Sus scrofa: one gene and its partners. The protein of the gene in region 1 interacts with the protein of each later gene in a biochemical or structural test. Links are inferred from orthologs where the notes say so. Each region holds a gene or a part of one and is shown in the gene's direction. Other genes may lie near its edges.

Region 1 (5,275 bases):
TGTGGTACATTTTAGGAAGTGCTTCAAACTTGGAGGCTGCAGTTGTTCATGAAGCAGCAGCGGAATTTCATACCGACCTGCCGAATTCATAAAAAAGGAAGGGACTATCTCCTAAATTAAGGTTTTGATGACGACCAGGGTAACCCTAAGTGAACTTTTGCCTTCACTTTCCAGTATCCTTCCAAGGCAATTCTGTTTCTCCTTCACGGCCAGTGCATCCCAACCTCCCCAGTCTTCCCAAGAAACGGGTCAAGACTCCAGTTCCTCCATAAAACATACTCACTAATGTTCACAGCACCTGAATGTTTGCAGCTGGTAGGATGGCTGATCTCACCAGCTAAGTTGTAGGCTTCTCAAGAGTTAACGTTTGTTCCTAATATGTCAGTTGTGCTTGGTAATGGGAAGACAGAATTTAATCGAATATTCCGAAATGATAATGAAATATGAGTGCAAAAAGAAAACTGCTCTTATGAAAAACTGAATTAACGCTGTGGAGACTTGACAAAGGAGAGTCATAATCAAATTAGGGAAGAAACGACATGACCGTAGAAGATTGCAGGGGAAATCGGAAAAAACGTACGCGAGTCTTCTGTCATCAGATTGCTTCGGAGAGATCTTTAAATTCTCCATCTATTTTAAAGAAACCCACCGTGGAACTTCTAGATGAGGAAAGGGTGCGGTCTACGGAAGAAAGAAGACGGGGAACGCCAATCCGCGAACCCAAGTTCAAAGGAAAGGTTTTGGACCTACATCAAAAGACTTGCAGCTCGGAAAGTTTTCTCGCGAGCGACAAAGGCTGGAGAAAGCGCCGTGGTCGCCACCTACCGAGGAGGAGGGGGAGGGGGATGATGGCCGGCGTGGCCCAGATCGCCGGTGGGAAAAAAACATCGCAAAATCACTCGATTTTGTGCTTTAAAGAAACATCTAAAATCTCTGGGCCCGAGTTTTAAAAACTTCTAACTTGAGCGTACACTAGCGTCTCACCATTTTCGAAATTCACGAGCTAATCAAAGTTGAGATGCAAAAAAATTACCGGGGGGAGGGGACGGCTTAGCGGTTGACAGAACACAACGGGCTGCAAATCACGTTTTCTGCTCCCCTCCTTGGCTTTTCCTCCTTAACTTCCCTTCTAAATGTTAAGAAAAAGTGAGCAAAGCCTAAGGGTGGGGTAAACAAAAACAGAAGGGTGCTCTTCCCTCGCCCGTCCAAAGTTGGGGCAATAGCCCCTTTTGAGGCAAGCTTTCAAAACTAACAGTTCTTTGTGTCCTGGAGGGTGGTGCAGGGCGGAGAAGTCCCTTGGCTGAGCCTGGGAGGAGGCATGCCGGCCTGGGGAGCCCCGGCCTTTGCAGTGTTCCGACCTCTCAATTTGCAGGGAATCTCGGGGGCAAGAGTGAGTGCGAGCCTTGAACGGTGGCTGAGGCCGGCTGGAGCGCGTCAGCAAACAGGATGAAGCTCCCCGCGGCCTGGATTTTCACCCCTGCGCCCCAGCTCCCCTCCCCCACTCGGGCGGCCGCGCAGGCCCCAGGTGCAGCCATGTTCTCGCTCCCACCACCCGCGCCTCCATTGACAGTCCTTGCCCGAGAGGGCCGGGCGCCGCGCTCGCCGCGTCCTCCGGCTCCGGGCTTGCCGGCGCGAGGCTTCCTGGGATTCGTAGTCCAGCGCTCCCGCCGTCGCGTTGGTGGGGACGAATCAGGGACTACAACTCCCGCTGGGCGGCACTGCGGGTGCGCACGCGCAGCGCGCCTTCGAGGAACAAAAAAAAAAAAAAAAAAAAAAAAAGAGGAGGAGGAGGGTGAGAGAGGAGCTGGGAGAGCAGAGAAAAGGGGCCACCGATCGCCCCCCCGCTTCCCCGCACGCGCTCTCTAACCGTGGCCGCCCGTCTGCCGCGGTTACCCCGGCCTCTCCCTCAGTCCCCTGTGAGCGGATCTAGGAGCTGAGCGAGGCCCTGCCCGGGCGGCCATGCGGCGGTGACAGGAGCTCGACCGAGACGCTTGGGCCCCTCGCCCTCTCACCTCCTGCCCGCTCGCTAGCCCGTCTCAGCCCGAGGCTGCTCCGCTGCGGTCGCAGTTTGCGCGCGGCCCACGCTCGCTTCCCTTCGGCACCCCTGACCCCGGCGCTGCCTGGAGGCGGCTGCACTCGGGTGAGTCCCTGTCGCCTCATCCCCAGTTCCCCGCCCTGGTTGCCATCGCGAGCAGAGCCTTTATTTGAGACTCGCCCCCTCCAGGGCCTGCACCGACAGGGGTCTGGGCATTGCCGGCGCCGGTGTTGGGGCCACTGGCCCCCCCCACCCCCAACCCGTCGGCGTTGGGGGTGGGGCAGGAGCAGACGCGGTCGCGGGGGACGACAGTTGCACGCGCGCGCCTGGGCGCGTGGGGGAGGGGTGCGCGCGCCGGCTCGGCTTGGGGGGGGGTCCTCACGCGTGAGGCCCGCGCGCGAGCGAGCCTGAGGGCTGCGCATGCCCGGCCCCTGATTGGCCGGCTCAGGCGGTGCGGGTGCGCGCGCGGTGCCAGGCCCGAGCCGTGGGGTCGCGCTCGGCCTGGTGTCTCCGGGGCTCGTGCGCCTGGGCAGCAGACGCGCCGGATTGGCCGGCGGGCGGTGGGGGCGGTGCCGCGCTGCCTGGTAACTGCGGCCGGCGGGCGGGCCGTGGAACGCCGCTGCTCCCCGCTGCCGCCCCTCCCCGCCGCTGCCCTGCCCGCGCCCAGGTGGAGCCGGGAGTGGGCTTTGTCCCGGCCCGGCCGGCGCGCCTGCCCCGCGGGGCCTGCTCTTTGGGGGAAATAAACACAATGACCGGAAGGAAAACCTCAGCCTGCAGGCCATGAAAATAAGCCATCTGGGTTTGGCCAGCACCCAGACGGGGGTTCAGGGGAAGACAAAACACTGCCCTCTTTCCCCTTCCTCCTGCTCCTCCACTTGTGCTTATTCAGTTTTTGTCTTTTAAAGAGTCGAGGTTTTTTTTTTTTTTTTCTTTTTAACTTTACAGTTTTGGGCTAATTTGAATCTGAAAGTGTTCCGTTGTTGGGTCCAGTTGGAGTTAGTGCTCACTCTTCTGAATGCGGGGCTCAGGGCAGACTTTTCACCTCCAGGCATTCAACTTTGCTGCAGACAATGGCTTGATGGGCCACTGTGCCTAAAAGTAGTCTCGGTGTGTTCAGGAAAGGGGAAGTTAGTTTGCAAATGAGAGTGTGCTTTGCGGTGCCCTGGGGAGGCCGGGTGGTGTCGGTCCTCTGCCCGCCCCCGCGCCCAGCGCTAGGATTTGGCTTGGCCGATTTTATTTCTTACTGAATATTTTTGCTTTGTCTGTTTTCCATCCGCTGCATTTCTACTGCCTTGCACTTTAGTTTCGCCTGCCTCTTGGGAATCTTAGCGCACACCTGTAGGATGGAATGAGTTTTTCTTCTCTTGAGGCTGTGGATGTCTTTCTCGCTTATATGCAATCACTTCTTTAAAGCCTCTCTTAATGTTGGGTCACAATTCGTTGCTTCTTACAGTCAACTTGTTTGCCTCCCTTGGGCGGGCCTCTTTATTTTCTCTTGGATTGTGTTTGGTTCTGCTTGTGTGCACGTGCTGATCTAGTCACACACTCCTGGAGGGGTCGGGATTAATTAAGCCTTTTCCGCCTTTGTCCTTCTCCCCCTTCCAGTCTGCCATCGCCAGAGTGCTTTGCTTATGTTAGCGATGGCAAACGATTGAGTTATGTGCCTGACATCGCTTTTAAGAAAGTATGTTTTTCTTATTTGATAGTCATAACGCTGTAACTCCATTCTGTAGGTGAGGAATAAGCCTAGTGACCTCTTGGTTACCCAGCAAGTAAACCATTACTCCAAGGTTTGAATTTAGGCATTCTGACTGTTAACCCTTAAACCAGTGGTTCTCAAAACCCAAGCAAACTTCAGCCTCCCCTGGAGGGCTTGTTAAAACAGCGTTGCTGGACCCCACCCCGGACCTTCTGATTTTGGAGGCCTGGGATGGGGTGGAATACTTTGCTCTTCTAACCAGTTCCCAGGTGCTGCTGCAGCTGCTTCTGCTCCAAGGACTTTGAGAACTATTCACTGTGGTATGAAATTAAGTGAGGGAAGTTTATTCTAGGTGCTTGTTTTTCATTACTTTAAAACTAGATCTTAACCAAAAGTAATTTGGATTGCTTACTGTGGATTGCTTGGAAAACTGATCCAGAGTTAAGAATTTTTGTTAGCTGTGGTTACCAAATTAAAAGTTTAATGTCTCCAGTTTAAAAAAGAGCCATGGATTTAAGTACGAATACAATTAGAAATTAAATAATTTTGGCCTTTTTTCACTCTCTTTCATTCATGTTATTCATGGCACAGGCAGTTGTCTCCTTCCACAGATGCTTGAAGCATCCTATTTGCACCACAGAGTCTAAAGTCTGGGACTCAGAACAGTTGGTAGTGCCTGGGCTTGGAACCCAGGCATTTGGGCCAGGAGGAGGCAGGCAGATCCCCTGGAGCTCCCCATCTCCCCCAACCCCCCAAGTTCCATGTACCAGTGATTTGGTTGACTTAAGAATATGACTACAAAGATTTGTTTTGTTAAAATGTAGGCTTTTGGGTTCTTTTTCTTGGGGCACAAGTCTCGGTGAGAAAGATTTTTCATTTTTTAGTGTACTAGAGTGCTCTCTGGGGAAAGTAAATCTCATTTAGGTAGGAGGACTGGGATTAATATACAATAATGTCTTTTTTTTGATGATCCACGGATCGATGGTACGATCCCAAACATAAAATGTAAAAGACCCTGCTCCAGGTTATTATTGTCTAAAGGATCCATAAATCAAACACTGAAAAACTACTAAAAGCTACTTCACTTTTTCTGTTTTCTGGTGATTAGCTATTTACATTGCATCGCACCTAATTCAGTTCTATCATTGTTTCATTCTTCTTTGAAAACATGAATTTTTAAAATACCGGAATCCTCTTCATAACTGCTGTGGTGTAATTAACATGAAATTGTCTTAACTACTGGCTCTAACAGATGCTGATTAAATACTTTTTATGTATGCCTAAGGAAAGCCTTTTTTGAAGAATTGTTTGGGAAGTTGTACTCTGAGAATGCTATTTCACTTTTCTGAAATGCATTAGAGGTAATCTATCTGAAAGATAATTGCCAAGGATTTTATTAATAGCAATCTACCAAAGGTCATTGGTACCATATTTCTTCCAAAGTTATCTACATTTATTTGGATCATTGTTACTGACTGAAAGAAAGTAGGAAACAATTAATTGTTCATTATAATTGGAAAGTAGAGTTTCCTTGTAATCTG
Region 2 (5,250 bases), on another chromosome or scaffold:
CATTGGCTGAGGGGAGAAGGAAAAGAGGGGGTGAGTGGAGGCAAAGGCCAGGGCAAGAGACAGTCAGGGTGGGGCACGGGGCCAGCCCACACCCACCTTCATTTTGGATGATGCAGCGAACAATCCTCTCCACTGTGTCCTCATTCATGTCATCGTCCTCAGCTGAAGGATGAAGGCGGTTGGCAGGGAAGTGACAAATGAGTCAGCTTTGGGGGTATATTACCTGGTGGCTTCTGTGGCTTGTTACTCAAGACCTACCCCTTTGCCAATGTGCCATCAGGCTGTAGGTTAGCATTTCAAGGGCCAGGGCAGAAAAGATGGAGAAATCAATGCGAATCCAAGACTACCATCGTGGGCTGGTCCCACCCCGCGCTCTGCTTCTCTAGCCTTGCTTTTAGGGCCGTGGACTCAAGAAAATGTTACTAGGCCTCTTGAAAGTTTGGGTGGGATGTGGCCTGGGTTAAGAGGTGTGGGGAGAAGGGTGAGAGAGAAAAGGGACTGAGCCAGGGTCTAGGCTGTTCACTCACGGGGCTGCAACTGGGTGTCGTCAGGCTCCGAGCCCCTCGAGGTGCGGCAGCGGTAGCCCTTCTTCTTGAGCACGTGGCAGATCATGAAGCCTACGAGGCCCATGAGAAAGAAGACCAGCACAAGCAGGAAGAGCATGTACAGCCCATGTTGGGGCGGCTCCAGGTCAGGCTGTGGTTCCGACATGAGGCCCTGGGGGGCGAGCGCGGGCCAGGGCGCCTCCTGGGGCTAGGGGGCTGCAGCTAGGGGTTGGGGGGAGGGATAGGAATGCCATCTTCAGGATCCGTGACAGCCAAGCTTCTGCGGTCTGGCCCCACCCTCTGCCCAACCAGGGAGCTGTCCGGGCCAGGGGTGCTGGTCCAGGCCAGGGAGGGGTGCCAGATGGAGGCTGCGCAAACCCTCTTCCACTATCCTGGTCCCGCTTTCCCGACGCCCAGAGCGTTCCCCTTTCCATCTTGTCCTGCGCTTCCGTCCCTCCCAAGGACACTGCAGAGCGAGATGGGACGGAATTCTCAGGCGGCCGGCGCAGGGATCCCTGCCTGAGTCAGCGTCCACACCTCTGCGCCGGCCTGAGCCAGGCCTCCGCAGCTCACTCCCCTGACTGTACTATCGCACACACACCCCCTCCCGCCTTTCGGTTCTCCCCATCCTGACCACCTGGCCCACCCGGTACCGGTGATTTGGTTCTGGCTCCGGCTCCGGCTCGGGTTCCGGCTCCAGGGGCGTCCTAGTCCGGCTCGGGGCCCCCGACGCCCTCCCGGCGCTCATCCCTTGCTTCCTTCCCCTCCCCCCTTCGCCGCTTCAAGGGCTCCGGGCTGCGGCTGCAGATACCGGTGCCGCGGCAGGCGGGGGGAGGGAAGGATGGAGAGGGATGCGGGCTGGTCGGGACCGGCGACAGGCTCCGGACTATACCAGCGCTGGGAAGGGAATGAGATGGGGGGCGCCGCCGCAGCAGCCTTGGGTTCCCAAGCCTTCGACCGTCGCCCGCCCGGGACCAGGGGGCGGAGCACAGGTGTGCGGGGCGGAGAGCGAGAGCCTTGCGCGCTTGTGAGCGCAAGTGTGGTGCGCGCGTGACTGCGCTGCCCCCCTTCTCCTCCGGGGGGGTGTGCGGCGCCGAGTCTGGGTCCGGGTGAAGAGGACAGTCAGTCAAGCGAGGGTGCTCTCCACTGGTCAACCGGGCACGCCTGGCTTGGCTCCTGCCCTCGGATGCCCCGGCCGGCTTGGGTAGCCAAGAATCTTCCCAGCGGGCCGCGGGAAGCTGGCTTTCCGCATGGGAGAGGGACAGCACGGCCGGTTATCAGGAGCCTCCTAGAGAGGTGACACGGCTTGCACCCGGTTTGGGACAGGTGGCTGGACAGAATGGTTCGGCTTCCCGAGGATTTGACCCCCGCCCGGAAGAAAATGGCCTTCGCATCCTAGGACCAATGCGCGGTCCTCCGGCCAAGTCCAGACACTCAACACCCCATAACCTAGAACCGCCAAGCAGAGAGGGCGGAACTCCGCAGGGGGCGTGGCCTGGGCGTGGCCTACGGGAGGCGGGCTTGGGCCTCCGGGTTCCGCAGAGACTGGCTGCGTGCTTACGCAGCACGCACGACCGGGGGTGGGGCTGGCGGCCAGGCTGGCGGCGGAGGCGCGGGGCCTGGTCCCGCTGGCACCATGGCCAAGACTGTGGCCTATTTCTACGACCCCGACGTGGGCAACTTCCACTACGGTGAGGGAACAAGGTTGTATGCGAGGGGTTTCGGAACGCGGAGGTTTCCAGGGCGGGGCTACAGCTCCAGGGATGGGAACTGACCCACTCTCTTTTCCCACCCCCCAGGGGCTGGGCACCCTATGAAGCCCCATCGCTTGGCCTTGACCCATAGTCTGGTCCTGCACTACGGTCTTTATAAGAAGATGATCGTGAGTCTCGCGGCTTCTGCTGGGGATGGAGGGTGGGGGCGAGCTGCGGCCCTAGGGATAGGTAGGCTGGCTGCCCTGAACGCCCCAAGAGCGACCCACCTCCAGCGTGGGGAGGGCGGGATAGAAGGAACCAGGAGGACCCCCGTATGCAGAGTATTGGTGGGTGCATCCATGAGCTTAATGGGAGTTCCTTTTTCACTTTAGGTCGGCCAGCCTTTGACCTCAAGTAGACAGGTCATGGCCTAGAGTTGGGGTGGAGTGGGGCTGGTTTGAATACAGAAAGTGTTTCCCTCGCCAGCATCTTAGAGCAGTTTTGTGGCCTCAGCAAAGGGAAAGGGGCTGGATCACTGTATCTGAATATGAGATTTACCCCCACTGGCACCCCTTTTCCTCTGCCACACCTCTCTCCACCTCCAAGGGGCTAGAGGACTCTGCAGCCTGTGTGTAAGTGTGTATGTGTGTGGGGGGGACCGTAGGAGATGTCCTGGGTATTCTCTTTTCAACCTGGAATCCCCCCCCCCCAGTTCTACTAATCACTACCCATCCCTCCATCGCCAGGATATGCACATGCTCTCTGTCCCCAGCTTGGAAGTTATAGATGTGATATGTGATTATAACATGTCGCCTTGGCTCTTATGCCATTGCAAGGGGAATTAGTCAACAGTATGAATGGGTGCCCACCAGGCTGAGGCACTGACAAGTGATTTGGCCGTAGAGGAGGCCGAGGTGATGTTGGTGCGTGAATCTCAGACTCACTTGAAACTGTTTGCCAGTTTGTGCCCTTTTCTGGGAGAGAAAAACATTTTGTTTGGTTTCTAAAGAAGCGTGTGAGTCCCTCAAAAGATGGTAAATCTCTGGCTTAGCACCTGGGCATCTGTTTTTAGTTAGAGGGTTGTTATATGTTCCATATTATTTGACTCCAAAATTAAGAACTCAGAGGAGAGAGAGGACAGAATCAGAGCTCTGGGGGGATGACTATGAAGAGAATCAGGAGTAAGAGATCCAGGGATCAGGGCAGGTTGAACGGGGTTACGGTTCGAGAAGGTAGGAAAGGCTGGGCTGGAGGTTGGAGGGAAAAGGCGAGCCGCATGGTCTTTAGGGGGCTTGATCATTATAAACGACCGGGCTAATCAGTCTTTCTTCCTCATCGAACTTTGTCTCATAGAATAACAAGGATTCAGGGGCAAGGGGACTGCTGTGTGTGGTTTTGGATGGTCCCCAGGGCTGGGTTCGGGGTGGGGGTCTCAGCCCAACCAGTGGGACTGACCCTGCCCGGGTTCTCCTTGTGTTTCCATCCCGAGGTCTTCAAGCCGTACCAGGCCTCCCAGCATGACATGTGCCGCTTCCACTCTGAGGACTACATTGACTTCCTGCAGAGAGTCAGTCCCACCAACATGCAAGGCTTCACCAAGAGCCTGAATGCCTTCAACGTGGGCGATGACTGGTGAGGGGGGACTGGGACCTTTGGTGCCAGGCATTTCAGCGAGAATACTCGAGTGGGGCCTTGTGGCTGCAGTGGGAAGATGTGAACGCGCCAGGGGAGAGGATACTTGTCAGTGAATTGTCGTTTACTCATTTGTTTATTCAACAAATATTTATTGGTCATTCGCCCTGGGCCAGGCCCGGTGCTAAGTGCTGGGGATGCAGTGGTAAACAGCAACGGCAACACAGTTTCAGTATTGCATTTGTGCCGAGTCCTCCGAAGGAGAGGTACCCGACAGGCTATGAGGGTTTAAACACGGGAGAACCATCTAGCCTGGGCGTGGGCTGGAGGCTTCCTAGAAAAAGTCATAAAGGTTGAGCTGAGATCGGAAGGAAGCAGGAGGTAATTAAGTGAACGGTTGCTGGGAGGATGGAGGGTAAGGGGAGGAAGGTCGAGGGCAGTCGGGACAATGTGCGAAGGGCCTGGGGTATGACAGAGTGTGACTCATTTGAGGAACAGAAAAAAAGCCACCCGCAAAATCCGAAGAGCGATCTGAATTGAGGCTGAAGAGAGAGGCAGGGCCTGTAACAAATAAACGGCCTTGGAGTTCCTGCTGTGGTCCAGTGGGGTAAAGATCCAGCGTTGCTGCAGCAGTGGCACAGGTTGCAGCTGTGGCTTGGATTTGATCCCTGGCCCAGGAACTTCCACATGCTGCAGGTGCAGCCAAAGTAAATAAATAAATAAATGGCCCGACTGTGACTTGGGGTTTTTATGTCTAGAGTAGAGGGAGGTCATCAAAGTGCTTTAAGAAGCAGGAGCATGATTGGACAGGACCTTCTGTCATATGGTTTACGTTGGGCTTAGATCATACGAAGTAGACTCAGAGGTGGGCCCTGTGGGAAGAGAGCGGATAACGAAGAGAAGTCTTCCTCCTTGCTTATGTTCTCGCCTTCATCCACGAAAATACACTGACCACAATAGCTACCACTGACTCAGTCCATTTTTAAACTTATTAGGGAAAACATTGCTGAAAGTAGAAGGTACAGTGTCCCCCCACATACCCGTCACCCAGCCGTGACACTCACACCAAGTGCTAATCTTACGTCATCTATATCCTCTCACCTTAGATTCTTTTGAAGCAGATCCCAGATGTTACAGCCTTTTATCTATAAGTACACTCTTTTTCTTTCCTTTTGTTTTGAGGGCTGCTCCCTCGGCACATAGAGGTTCCCAGGCTGGGGGGTCAAATCGGAGCTACAGCTGCCGACCTATTACCACAACCACAGCAACGCAGGATCCAAGACGCATCTGCGACCTACACCACCGCTCATGGCAACACGGGATCCTTAACCCACTGAGCGAGGCCAGGGATCGAACCTGCAACCTCATGGTTACTAGTT
Region 3 (5,206 bases), on another chromosome or scaffold:
CTTCTAGGCCCCTTAGCTGCCTGGAGCTCCCAGCTGAAGGCACAGAAGGGTCTGGATCCCGGAGTCGGCTTAGTCTGCCCCCTAAAGAACCTCAGCTCCCTGACCCCCTTGCGCCTCCCCAGCGCCGATCATATGCATTTGAAACACAGGCTAACTCTGGGAAAGGGAAGGGACTGTGATTAGGACCAGACCACAGGGCAAAGAGGACAGTAGTTGTCTTGAAACTCCGTGGTTTCTGAAGCTGTCTCTTCTGCAGCCTGAGTAGCTGTAGTGCCCAACCCTATAGGTTTTGGCCCTCCAGTTTCTCTTTGACTGTGAGAGGCACTATCTCTGTTTACTTGAGCTTGTCTCAGACACAAAGCACTTATCCCTTAGGAGATTCCAGAAAGAGTCACCAAGATCCTGTTCCCAGAGAGTGGGGTCATTGGCCAAAGGGAACAAAGAGTAGGTAGAAAAACTTACAGGTTTCTCAAAGTGAAGAATGACGGGGGAACTCCAGCCAAGTTCCTGCCATCCTCTGAGGCAATGAACTTCTCTTCATGGAAGTCCAGGGTAAAGGCAGAGGTCAGGGCCATATCGGAGCTTATTATACACAAACACTTCTAGAGTTACCCATCCTTGTTCTACTTTGGGGCTGTTAAACGCCTCCTGCTCCTCAGCTTAGGAGGAACATGTCCAAGAAACTTTTTGAACCCTGTAGTATTTGTTGGAGGGACAGGCTCCCTTCCTAGCTCCCCTACTTTCTGCCTCCCTGCATCTCAAGACAGAGAGGTCTTGTACAGATCTCTCTGCCCTCTTCTTTTCCCTTCGGAATAACTTCCTATTTCAGGGAAGGGGAATGATGTCACTTACACCCTGGGACTACTTGTCTGGATAGGCTGGGGGCCACGAATCCCAAGGGGCAATGTCTCATAATAAAAGTTGTATTTTTACACGTAAATAGTGTGGAGTTTCATTACTCTTATTAAAGTCTTGAGTGACAGGTATCATATTTTCAAATATTTGACCATTCGTTGTCTTTTCTGCTTTTATTGTTTGGGTGCTCTTCCTCAGTTGTTGCCATAGAGACCTGCGGCTGGAAACTAGAGCTGGGTTCATGGTGGTCAGGAAATGCGGAAGAGAAACTTATATTTGCATAATGCTCATTATGTGCCAGTAAAGGCTAGGTATTCTATGTGCACATAGTCTATGCTCCTGATTTTTCTGAATCCACTTAATAATTCTAAAAGGTTGGTACAGGTAAATCCATTTCACAGATGAGGAAACTAAATTAAGTCAAAAGGTTTGCCAAAGGTTTCAGAGCCAAGAAGTGGCAGAGTTAGGTCTGAGACCCGAGTTTGTCTGGCTCCAGGCTCTGAACTCGTCTCATTACCGCCCCCGCAACTTGAGGGTAGGTCTTGACTGAAAAAGAATGGGAATCAAGATGCCTCTCCCAGAAACTGTGAGCCTCTCAAAAACTGGAAGCCCTGGAGGGTCTTTAGGTGCCTTCTAACCCTAATACAAATAAGTATATCCAGATCTATTTATACCAGCTATGTCCTAATGTCTAATAAGCAACCACAAACAGGTATACTGATCCAAGATGGCCTCCCAAAGAGCCCTTGTTAAAGATGGCGCCTCCATCCGATGTCCCTCGCTTGATCCAAGCTGGCCTCTCTCACGCCCTTCTCCTGGAGCTAAAAAGGCCCTGTCCAGCAGAAAAATAGTAGCACCAAGTTAGTCGTCTTTCTTCCGTCCTTGCTAGAGCGACTAGGACTTCAGTGTCATTCTCCAAGGATCCCCGGTCGTGGCTTCTTCCCCACCCCAGCAACACCTCCAACACGCTCGCATCCTTCAGCCCCCGGCAAGATGGAGCGAACGGAAGTGGGGCAGCACAGAGGCTGTGTAGGCTGGGCGGACGGGAGGAGACACTTCCGCCCCTCACCAACATGGCTGTGAGCCGGTAGTGCGCATGATCAGCTGTCCAAGGAGCTACCCGAGTCGAGAGAGGGAGAACTCGGTCCAGGGAAATAGGAGCCTGCGGCGGCCTTGGCTGGTGAGTGCAGGACCCGACGAGAGTCTGGAGACTGGGTGGGCAGGCGGGGGAGAGCAGCTTCGATTTTATTTCCGTTTTTTAGGTCCAGAAACTCCTGGGGCGGAAGCTTTTGTTTGGAGGGAGGGGGCCGTGCCTGATCTTTATCTCCTACCCCCTTTTGTGGGCCGAACTCACTCCCCGCCCCCGGGCGCGCTCTCCTTCGATGGCAGCCGCGGGCCGCGGGGCCAAGACCACGGGATCCGCTGAACCCCCGGCCTCAATTCCTGCCTCTGCGGAGCAGCGGGGTCTCGGGATGTGACGGGCCGGGCTGGACGGGTCACGGCGCGGGCTCCTGGGCTCGCGCCCGACCGGCGCTCAGCTCTTAAGCGCCTACTGCTTGATGGGCCTGCAGGGAGACGCCGCATTCTCAGGCAAGGTCTAGGCGCCAGCCTTCTTTGGGGACTTGATTATTTTCCCTTTGTGTCCAGACTTAGCCAGGGCTCTCCCCCCCCCCCCTTTGCCTGAGCGTGCACGCTACGACATCCTATCCCACTTTCCTGTCGCATACCCCTAACGCTCAGGAAATGCTTCTGGATGCCCTACTAAGATTTGAATAAGTATCTTGACCCCGTTGCTGGGCGTCCTCAGAGGCTGCCCCGGCTGACAGCTGTGGGCCATAGAGACGCCTCCTCTGCCCTGCCCTCTTGTTTCATTGCTTCCTTCTGCTGTCAGCGCAGCAAGCTTCAGAGGGGCACTTCCTCCGTACGTTCGAGGATGGAGAGGTAGGTGGTCCCGAAATACTGGTGCTACTTCCCCCTTAGGGACCGGATCTTAATTGCAGCGCTACTTGCTCCGGACAGTTTCATTTTCAGTTCCTTTTTTTTTCTTTTTTGTGAACACTTTGGATATGGGCTTTCCATGACTTAACCGCTGAAGATAAAGGTTTGGGAGACCCTTACAGGTAGAGAACTTAAAAAAATCTTACCCCTTTCCTGTCGGGATTACTTATTGCTTTGTACTATATTGCTATTTCTTTCTAGAGGCATCTGTCTTCTCAGCCCTTTGTTTTTCCTGCCGCCGCCACCCTCACTTACCCCCACTGGGTGTCAGGGTCTTTTTTTTTTTTTTTTTTTTTTTTCTTTTGGCCTAGCAGGGGGTGGGGGCGGGCATGTGGAAGTTCCCAGGACGGGAGTTGAACCCGCACCGCAGCAGCAGCCCAGGCCACTGCAGTGACAACTGCTGCTGGATCCTTACCGCTGTGCCGCAAGAGAACTTCAGTGTCAGGGTTGTAAGGCAGGCACCTCTTAGATGGATTCTTCCTCCATTATCTCTTCTTCCAAACCCTGAACCTGGAGTTTCCCTCTTCTTGCTGAGGCTTGGTTGATTTGGAGTTGTCATGGCAACATTTTAGCAACTGTGTTGTTCTACAGGAAGGCTTAGTGAATAAAATAGAAGGGGCTTGAAGAGGATACACTTGGGCTTTAGGGTCTTTAATGAATGAGGTAAATCTGGACTCCCAAAACAAGAGCCCTGTCAGTAGAATGATGCCCAAGGGCCAAATCTGGTCTTTTATGGTTCTGGAGGTTCTCCAGTGGGTTCAGGTTTCCCTTTCTTAGATTTGAGGACAGGAATTTCTTGATGTACAATATATGCTTGAGAAGTGGGAAGAAGCATCAACATCCAAGACCTTGTGTTTTTTGATAGCTGTGGTCTAAACATGGTCCTTCTAATCTCCATGTCATGGCAGATCATGATAGCTTTAATAATAATCCATCCAGAAATACGTTATTTCTTAGTCTTTCAGTATAATTATCTCTTCTCCATCAGGAGTTGGAGTGATAATTGGAGGGGCGAGAAACACTATTCATATAATTGCTCTTTCAGTCACTGTAGACAGTCTTCAGCATCAGAATGGAGAAAGCTGATTGTCCCCTGCAGATGATTGGTTTATGTTCCTGGATGTGTCTTCATGGAGCCTAGTTCTAGAAAGAGGAGACTTCCAGTTTCTTAGACTCACTAGACTTCCTGATTTCTACCAGGACTTAGCACTCAGGCCTGTGAGGCAGGAGATACGAAGACTTCCAAAGAAGGACCAGTTCCTCGGATGTGCCCCCTCACAGAGAGATGAAGGGGTGAGTGAAGAAGAGGTAGGGTCTGGTTTGGGAGGCCTGGGAGAATGCAAAATGGCTAAGAGCACTGATTCTGGAGTCAGGCAGACCTAGATTTAGGTCCCAGCTCCATCACCTAGCTATGTGATCTGGTTTCCTGTTTATAAAATGCAGGCAGTGCTACCTACCACACAGTGCTGTTCTTAGTACTAAGTAAGATATTGCCTGTTAAGTGCTTAGCTCAGCACTAAATAAATACTAGCTCTTGTTATTCTGACCTAACCGAGCATCTGCTGGGAGTGCCAGTGAGTTTGGGAGCCATATGTTATTGGGCCAGTGAGCTTTTCATTCACTTTTTCCCATATTTTTTTGTCCCCTCACAAACAGGCAGCAGAAAACAGCTGAAACGGAAGAGGGGACAGTGCAGATTCAGGAAGGTAAGTGGGAGAAACAGAACTGAGCTAAGACCAAGAGCCCACTGGGGCCTCTCCCCCACCCCATGGGCCCATCACTTGTGTAACCTTCTTCTAAATGACACGTAGGTGGAACAGAGAGGAAAAGGCAGTAACTCACAGACTTTTCCTTTTAATTCAGGTGCGGTGGCAACTGGGGAGGACCCAACCAGTGTGGCAATTGCCAGCATCCAGTCAGCTGCCACTTTCCCTGACCCCAACGTCAAGTACGTCTTCCGAACTGAAAATGGGGGCCAGGTAAGGGAGGGGGCCAGGTGGCTGCAGGTGTTATCTGGGATTGGGAATGGGGGAGGTAACTGAACCTGTCACATGGGGAGACCTGGATTGGAGGATGAGGTGAAGATGTGGACTGTCTGGAAGGTGGGGGGTGGAGTAGAGATTGGTGTGGGGTAGGGGTTATGCTGAAACCTCTATATGGGGAAAGGCAAGGGAATGGCTAACTGTATGTTTCTGAAGGATTCTTGTTTGGGGACCCTGTCCCTGGCACTTACTCTCTTGTTCTCCCTTCCCCTTCTTCCCTTTTCCTCCTTGCCTCTAGGTGATGTACAGGGTGATCCAGGTGTCTGAGGGGCAGCTGGATGGCCAGACTGAGGGGACTGGCGCCATCAGTG

Evidence for each region.
Region 2: the proteins of GTF2I (region 1) and HDAC3 form a complex in vitro, tested with the Homo sapiens proteins (2 studies listed by BioGRID). The link is inferred for Sus scrofa from reciprocal best matches to the Homo sapiens genes GTF2I and HDAC3.
Region 3: the proteins of GTF2I (region 1) and USF1 form a complex in vitro, tested with the Homo sapiens proteins (2 studies listed by BioGRID). The link is inferred for Sus scrofa from reciprocal best matches to the Homo sapiens genes GTF2I and USF1.

Annotation. Positions count from the first base shown.
Region 1 is NC_010445.4:11,704,331-11,709,605, forward strand, and holds the start of GTF2I (general transcription factor II-I), read left to right. Parts: upstream 1-1,759; 5' UTR 1,760-2,140; exon of another isoform or gene 2,141-2,550; intron 2,551-5,275. UniProt on the Homo sapiens protein: Interacts with the basal transcription machinery by coordinating the formation of a multiprotein complex at the C-FOS promoter, and linking specific signal responsive activator complexes.
Region 2 is NC_010444.4:143,284,265-143,289,514, reverse strand, and holds the start of HDAC3 (histone deacetylase 3), read left to right. Parts: upstream 1-2,093; 5' UTR 2,094-2,181; coding exon 2,182-2,236; intron 2,237-2,344; coding exon 2,345-2,427; intron 2,428-3,728; coding exon 3,729-3,871; intron 3,872-5,250. Other genes in the region: RELL2 (RELT-like protein 2), read right to left, coding at 1-6, 97-162, 528-711. UniProt on the Homo sapiens protein: Histone deacetylase that catalyzes the deacetylation of lysine residues on the N-terminal part of the core histones (H2A, H2B, H3 and H4), and some other non-histone substrates.
Region 3 is NC_010446.5:89,393,251-89,398,456, forward strand, and holds the start of USF1 (upstream stimulatory factor 1), read left to right. Parts: upstream 1-2,049; 5' UTR 2,050-2,445; intron 2,446-2,513; exon of another isoform or gene 2,514-2,796; intron 2,797-2,813; exon of another isoform or gene 2,814-2,975; intron 2,976-4,053; 5' UTR 4,054-4,138; coding exon 4,139-4,146; exon of another isoform or gene 4,147-4,161; intron 4,162-4,509; coding exon 4,510-4,559; intron 4,560-4,716; coding exon 4,717-4,832; intron 4,833-5,133; coding exon 5,134-5,206. Other genes in the region: ARHGAP30 (rho GTPase-activating protein 30), read left to right, coding at 1-179.